Oryzias latipes: one gene and its partner. The protein of the gene in region 1 interacts with the protein of each later gene in a biochemical or structural test. Links are inferred from orthologs where the notes say so. Each region holds a gene or a part of one and is shown in the gene's direction. Other genes may lie near its edges.

The links.
Region 2: the proteins of mpdz (region 1) and htr2a form a complex in vitro, tested with the Homo sapiens proteins (2 studies listed by IntAct, with this or other methods). The link is inferred for Oryzias latipes from reciprocal best matches to the Homo sapiens genes MPDZ and HTR2A.

What each region holds. Positions count from the first base shown.
Region 1 is NC_019876.2:9,368,292-9,372,052, forward strand, and holds part of mpdz (multiple PDZ domain protein), read left to right. Parts: intron 1-903; coding exon 904-918; intron 919-1,864; coding exon 1,865-2,012; intron 2,013-3,226; coding exon 3,227-3,313; intron 3,314-3,391; coding exon 3,392-3,488; intron 3,489-3,567; coding exon 3,568-3,728; intron 3,729-3,761. UniProt on the Homo sapiens protein: Member of the NMDAR signaling complex that may play a role in control of AMPAR potentiation and synaptic plasticity in excitatory synapses. Promotes clustering of HT2RC at the cell surface.
Region 2 is NC_019879.2:13,743,169-13,747,483, forward strand, and holds the start of htr2a (5-hydroxytryptamine receptor 2A), read left to right. Parts: upstream 1-1,204; 5' UTR 1,205-2,330; coding exon 2,331-2,778; intron 2,779-4,315. UniProt on the Homo sapiens protein: G-protein coupled receptor for 5-hydroxytryptamine (serotonin).

The sequences.
Region 1 (3,761 bases):
GGAGGAAGATGGATGGCTAAGTTACTGTATGGAATAAAGAACCCATCTAGTTTTCTGACCTGCTTATTGACCACAATCTTTTGAATTTACAGCCAGTTCACAGTTATCAGATGTTGGTCACCAGGTTAACTCTGTGACACTGAAATGTTAGCTACAGTGTTGACAGTCTTTCGACCGCCGTACTAACTAACCTTAGCTCTTTCACCTTTTACACAATTAACATAAATAGGCAAATTCTGTCACCGAGAATAGCGACTTTGCAGCGTTATGCAACATTTTACATTAGTAAACCTTTTGTTCGTCACGTTACTAACTTTACATAAAGTTACGTAAACTTTATATTACTAACTTTATGAAAAGTTAAGTAAACTTTATATTACTAACTTTACGTAATATTACATTAACTTTATGCTACTAACGTTAAGTAAAGTTCAGTAAACTTTATGTTACTAACTTTTCGTAAAGTTACGTAAACTTTATGTTAGTGAACCTTAAATCAAACTTTACTTATACTTTAGTAAATGATCACTGTATTTAATTAAGCAAAAGTGATTTAAGGACGGTTTTTTTTTGTGTTTTTTTCTGTCTTTTTAATCTATGCATTTCATAATTTCGGTAATGAGTTTGATAAATATGTGTAAATTCTTTATTGCTTTGACTAAAATACTTGAAATAAATCAATAAATCAAATCAACCAGGCTATGACACAGACTAATGAAAATGTAAAAAACTATTGAAAAGTACTACAATTCAATAGACTAAACAATCCAAAACCAAATGGAACAAACCAAAGTCAGTCATGCTTGATACTTGCCAGATAAAAAACAAAACAAAACACATATCTACCAGTTTTTTCAAAAGTTTAACTGTTTTTCCTTTTTTAATCCAAATTTCCAAATGCAGATCTCGGAAACACAGGTAAAACATATGTAAACACTTTTTAAAAACAATATTTACTTTATTAATAAATGTATAAAAAGTGTGTATTAGATAGTGTAAGAGAGTAGTGTGTACTTCCTTTTTCATAGAACCCTCACTGTGACTGTTTGTCCATAAATCCAGAACATTTGCACTTTTTTTGGTTCCTTAGAACCTGAATTGTGGCCTTTTGGTAGAGCGTCCGCTCTTAGAGTGGGAGGTTGCGGGATCAAACCCAACAAAGTTTCTAAAACTATGCCTCTCTGCTGCTCAACACTCAAGGGTTAAGGGGTCGGATTGCGTCATCGACCTCAGTGTTTCACCCTGTGGGTGGTTCCAATTGTTTGGATTACAGGGGGGGTCTGCAGAAGCTGTTGGGTTGGAGATGTCATCAGATGAAGTCACGCTTCTATTGTCGTCTACCTGCTTCAAACGCTATTTTCCCGCTGCGCTCCAGCTGTTGCCCTGTAATTTCAGCTGTGCCTACCGAAAGTAAACAATGGCGGCGGTGCGTTCCTCCACACGTGTATTTAAAATGGAACATTCAAAGGGAGCGGGTGCCTCAGATGTTTACAAAATGTTTCAACTCGGAGGTTCAAGTCGGGTGTAGAGGTTAAATCCAATGATAGCTGCTCAACGTTTGTGGTTGTGGTGCATTTGTGGGAGAAAAAAAAACGGAATGGAGGCTCCAGAAGGAAAGTTCAGCCCAGCAGTTAGTGGTGAGGCCTCGTCACAGCCAAGGATCTCTGGCACCGTGGCCTGCATGGGAGTGAGTAGTTTTGCTCCTCTGCTTCCGCTCACACTTCTACTAAAATGGGAGAAATTAGACGAGCAGTCACCAGTGAGGTTTGCAAAGGAAACATCCCTTACTTGAAGACGGGCACTGCATCGATAAAGCTGGTAGCTTGCTGTCCTCGTGAATGTTTTCCTCCCCGTTATCCCACAGGAACGACACGGGAGTCTTCGTGTCAGACATTGTGAGCGGAGGCCTGGTCGACGCCGACGGCCGCCTGCTGCAGGGCGACCAAATCCTGTCGGTAAACGGCGAAGATGTCCGGTCGGCCACTCAGGAGGCGGTAGCTGCCCTTCTCAAGGTCAGCCTCCCATAGCTATGGATCCTTATTGAGACGGTGATCCCATTCACAATGATTCACCGAACAGACCACAATTCTTACGATTTCATATGTTACGTTTCAATGGTAGCAAGGACTGCACGATGTGAGGAAAACTCGCGATTTGAGATATCAGTGATCAATATTGCGATGACAGTATAACCCGCGATACAAATAGCAAAAGAACCAAAAAAATCGTTTCCGTTTCACTGCAACAGTTTGATTTAAATAATACATTTAAATTAAATTATACCCCAAATGAGTCTGCATAACATCTAACATCAAAGAGTTCCATCAGATTGGTCAAATGCATTAATTGATTTATTTGATTCGTTAAATACTCCAAGCTGCCTTAAGATCGTTTTAGCACATTTAAGGTTATTGCAATTTTCGCCGACTTTGCGATATGCGTATTGCACAGCTTGATATTGTGATAATGATAAATTTGCGATATATTGTGCTGGCCTTATGGTAGCTATATCACTTGTGCTATCCTATGGGGTCCAGATGACCCCACCCTTACATTGACGTGTTCTCCCTACCATGACAAAGGTGGATAAAGGTGGAAAGATTTCATGTAATCCATGGACACCAGTGAAGATCACAAATCATTGAAGAAAAAAGGTTCAGAGCACTGTCTAGTGGGTCTAGATGACCCAACTCCCAATGTTAAAGTACCTAGGATAGCACATGGTTACATATGTCGTTTTTACTGGATGAGTAAATATCTTAATTTTTACCTTTATTTAGAACAGATCAGAATCATCAGACCATAAAAAAAGCAAAAACAAAGATTTTGAAAGACAAAAATTCAACTCAACTTTATTTATAAAGCACTTTAAACAGAGGTTCATCAAAGTGCTGAACAACACAAAAATTAATAAAAGCACATGACAATATAAATTATTACTTGGAAGATGTATTGACTTTTGTTGACAGTAGTGGTAATCCGACATTATTCTGCATTTTAGAGCGATAATTATGGTGCCTGAATGTCGCTTATTACACTCAACTATATTTAAAAAGATCGCAAATCTGATCTCGGATGTCGCAAATGATCATACTCAAATTTTCAGTAGCGGAACGGGAATATCCTATAGTCGGGATACTGGTTTTAGCCCGGGAGTCGGCTCCCGCGGTGCGTCGGGAGGATTGATCTGAAACGCTAGAATGACGGCGATGCGTTTGTGTCGCAGTGCTGCATCGGACCCATCAAGCTGGAGGTGGGGAGGTTTAAAGCGGGCCCGTTCCACTCTGAAAGACGGCTGTCCCAGAGCAGTCAGGTACCGTGCTGAGAATCTCCCAGGTACAAAATAACAGTTTTGGTTTGTTAAGGCGTCGAAATCCTCACACTTTTGCAGATAAGTGAATCCGGCAGCTCCAAAGTGGCTCGTCCGTCGAGTTCCGACTCCGGAAACCTTCTCTGTGACTCTGAAAAGCAAAGCCCAGCTCAGGATGGTGAGTACCAAGAAACGGATCGTCACCATGATCCTCATCTGTGTCGGTGCGGTAAAGAATCCTTTGGAAACCTTTTCAGCTGCAGAGCATCAGGACGTCAGAACAGTGGAGCTGACCAAAGGTCCCAGCGACTCTCTGGGCATCAGCATCGCGGGCGGCGTGGGCAGCCCTCTGGGCGACATCCCCATCTTCATCGCCATGATGAACCCCGTCGGGCTGGCGGCTCAGACCCAGCTGAAGGTGAGGCCGTTCATCTATCCCTCTCCCTGAACA
Region 2 (4,315 bases), on another chromosome or scaffold:
TAGTTCATTTTAGTATTTTTCTATTGAACTCTTTGTATTCGTGATCCTTTTGATTTCATGTTTTACTTCGAAGCCCATCGAGACGACTGTTGTTGTGATTTTGGGCTATACAAATAAAATTGAATTGAATTGAACTCTCGCCGCGCCATGCCCGCTGCTCAAATCGCGCCGCAGAACCTCTGATTTAACATTGTAACTGGCCGTCCCGTCACGCAAATCGTGTTCGTAGTGCATGCAGCTTTACAACTGCATAGTTGCCTGTTCTTCTGTAGGACTGCAAATCCACAGTTTTTTCACAGTCTATTGTTCTTGGAGTAAAGATTAAAAAGTCCTGGACTGTCTCCTCTGAGATTAGTGGATCTGAGGGTGCAAAAACTATCTGGCCTTTCATTCTTAACTGAGGAGATTTTTTGAGTTTTTTTGTGGGGCTGTTGGCATGTGTAAACTGACTATCATCATGGTCAGCACAGATACGGGCTGACCAGCTGCTGGCTGTGCACTGGAATAAGCCTTAGTGATTCACCTTCAAACTTGTGTCACTGAAAACAACACACAACCTATGTGCGATAGATTAGACTATCTTCAAGAGGTGCAACCGTTTTCATTTGTTCCAGTAGCTCTCCATTCCTTGTGCTCATTCCCTCCTCTCTGTTGCACTGATTTAACATGAAACTCTTAGCGCTTGCTGAATTTTTCTTTAAATTCTGCACTTTGCTGCTGTTGCAGTCAGTTTTTGTAAATCACCTACAAATCCTATTTACAGAGGATGAGCAATTTATTGTTTAATTTCACGCAATTTGGTAAATGAAATATTAAGGGTTGTATTAGGCTGATCCAAATCAAACAAAAAAACCTACAAACTGTTTGAAATTAAAGAACATGTTTCAGCTACATCCTGAAAAGCCGACTAAAATGAGTTTTATTTATTCTTTAAATCAAACCTTTTGGTAAATTTAAACTGGCACATGTTTGTTCATGTACGTTATCTTAATATGAGGCTAGTTGACTCAAAATTAACTCTACAAAAATATGTACAGAACCAGAAAAACTCAACGAGAAAATAGGAAACAGGCACAATGGAAGAGAGAACAAGACATGGTTGAGGGAGACAGCCAATACGGTTCAAGGGAGCGAGAGACCCTGGGTGAGAAGACAGAGAGAGAGAGAGAGAGCTGGAGATCCCCACAGAGAGGAAGAGAGGCTGCATGAAAGAAGCAGCCAGAGCGCAAAAACATTCAGCTCCCGGTCACTCACAATGACGACTCAACTACTTGACTGCACTCCTCTGGAAACCTGAAAGACCACAGGAAGACCTCACAGACACTCCGGTTTTTCCCTCTGCCTCTCAATCAGTTTTCCATTTTGGAAAGTGACATTATGTGGAAATACAGTGCGGGAAGGAGGAAGGTTTGGGAGGAACGTGGTCTGTGGTGCTTTTTGGAAGACGTGCATGGAGCGGCTGATGTTTTTCACTGAAGGTTTATGTGAGTAAAGGGGTGAGGGGGGGTGGGCATTTATGGAATATTTAAAATCTCGTGAGGGCTGACGCTGTTTGCTTGTGAAGAGAAAAGTATTCTTCAGAGGAGGCAGAACTTTAACGGCAGGATGGAGTGACTGTGTGTGAGGGGAAAGTTGGAGGCACATGGACACACACTTGTAAGAACCCATCCTGTTCGTCATCCATCCTTGTCAGCTGCAGACTGCCTCGCAGGTACACGGATGAGCTGAGACCAGGAAGCCAGGATTCCCACCCATGCTCACAGAGCAATCGCATCTGTGGATCCACCATCCAAACCAGCACCAGTTTCCACAAGAGTTTCCATTCATCAAACCAGTTTCACTCTAGGATATAGTTTTCTATAAGGACCAGATCATGCGTCTGAAGAGAAACAGACTAACTGGAAAACTGCTTTAACCCTTGGAACACATGCAGATTTTCTATAACCCAGATTTGGCACGGATGTAGCATTTTTAGCATGAACACATCTTCCACTCTTCAGGGATGACTTCAAATGGATTCTATGATCCGGAGAAGAGACGCCTCCCCCCTTTTCTGTGAAGACGTGAGTCACGATAATTCCAGCACTTGGATTTTTGACATTTTGTTAAAGTGGTGAACACGTTTATACAGGATGTGGATCCTGACAGACAAGACATATTTACGGCTCCAATTTCCTCTGAGATGATGGGATGGATAAGTGAACGTAAATGACAATTCAAGGGACAAAACTGAAAGATGGGAAAAGGCAAAGAAATGAATAGTTGTGAGTTTCTGGCTCTTTCTTGACTCAGTAAGTGGTGATTTTCTATAGTTCTCCTGATCTGACAGCATGAACCTGCGTGGAGGTAACATGTCAGAGCTGATCTCCCACACTATCAGAGCTATCACAGCTCTGGAGTCCAAACCCTGGCCTCCGCCTGGACTTGAGGAAAATGTCCACAGAGTTGGGAATGCAACAAGCTTGGATTGTAAGGGGGTTGACGTGGCACGCAGCACAGTAGACAGGCAGTTGGGGAACTGGTCTCAGCGCGGTGCAGCTGGACTTTACGGATCTCAGTGTGCACCTTCACATCTGCCGGAGGAGAAGAACTGGGCATCGCTGCTGATTCTGGTGGTGATCGCCGTCACGGTCATGGGGAACATCCTGGTGATTCTGGCCGTGTCCTTGGAGAAGAAGCTGCAAAATGCCACAAACTACTTCCTGATGTCACTCGCAGTTGCTGACATGCTCCTGGGCATCTTGGTCATGCCAGTTTCCATGGTGACTATTCTCTACGGTAAGAGCAGAGCGTCAATCAAATTAAGCTTTATCAAGCTGACATTTAGTGTGATGATGACTGGAGTTGAGTCTCACAGCATTTATAGAATTGTTTCGTGACTACACAAAATGCACCTGGCTGCACGCGTTCCTCACTACGGATGATTTGTGTGTTCGTGACTGGTTATAGGCAAGAAATATTACACTTTCTCATTTCCGAGTTGGAGCTCTGTCAGAGTCTGATGGCTGTTTAGATCAGTGATCCAGTGTTTGGCTCTGCGGTGAAGCGAACTCCGCCTGGACAGGCAGGTCTCAGTTCATGCATGGCTTTGTGGTGGCAGTGGAAGACAGATGGAGAGCAGCAGTGTTGGAGGTGTTCAGGGCTGTTGTTGATAATGATGGGTTTATTTGGAGAGCTGCTTCAATGGAAAAATAACATGGCAAAGCCTGTGCTGTGTACGGATGAATGGGAAGGCTGATAGAACCCTGCTGCTGTGCAAAACAAGTCTCTCAATGCTACAACTTAAAAAAAGAGAATAGCTTATTGTCTTAGCAGTCTTTAACAAAGAACCGCGCAAGCTAAGACACATCGGTTTCAGCACATACACACCTACACACTTATCCCGTTTGTTTATGTTCCACCGCGAAGACAATTCCGACGTGCAAACATTAGTACCCCCCCCCCCCCCCCCCCTCCGAGCCATGTCCCACCGGGTGATTCGCGCCCCCCCTGAGATTCCCCTGCGCCCCACAGTTTGAGAACCACTGGCGTACACAGTTAAACATTTACAGTTTATCAAAGAGCGTGTGCTACGCAGGTGTTGCCAGTGACAGCTCCGGTGTTTTGCTACATATACACCGGACATGTGATGCATGTTTCAGAGTGCGCTTAAACCGCACAAACTGCAATTATTAATTTCTCCTCCATCAGATTCAGATCAATTTTCAGTGGATTGGCATTTTGGTGAATGAAAAGGACGCCATCCATACGTCGCTACCAAATCCGAGTCCCTTATTGGTCAAAGTTCAACCTGGTTTAACTTGTGTGTGCGTTCAATGGGTGTGTGTTTTTGTATGTACAGCCAAATGAAGGTCATAGAAACTCAACGCAGGAGTTTTGAATGCGGAAACCCGAAACGCGTGCTTACATAGACTTATCATTGGAAGTGGTCGTTTGATTTTGCATTGCTGAGGGGGTTGTGTGAACGTTGCTTCACAGTATTAATCCAATTACCGTTTGAACTCAGCAGCCATTCTCAAGCGAATGAACTTTGGAAAAAAAAATTATTTAAGTAAACCAACTGTAAGCTGGTTACCTATGGAGATGTGAATACAAGCTTTTTCCTTTGAACAAATACTAAGACCAAAACCAGATGTTTGAAAATTTATTACTGTAGTAGAAAATTCACATGGGTACATTTTGTCCTTTTTTAATTTGCCCCAAATTTTCTATCCTTGGGGGGGTCCATTTTGTTTGGCAGGTGTGAAAACTCACCAGACATGATAACTCTGGTCCACATGAGATGCATGCTCATGTTTAGCCCATAAGAGGTACT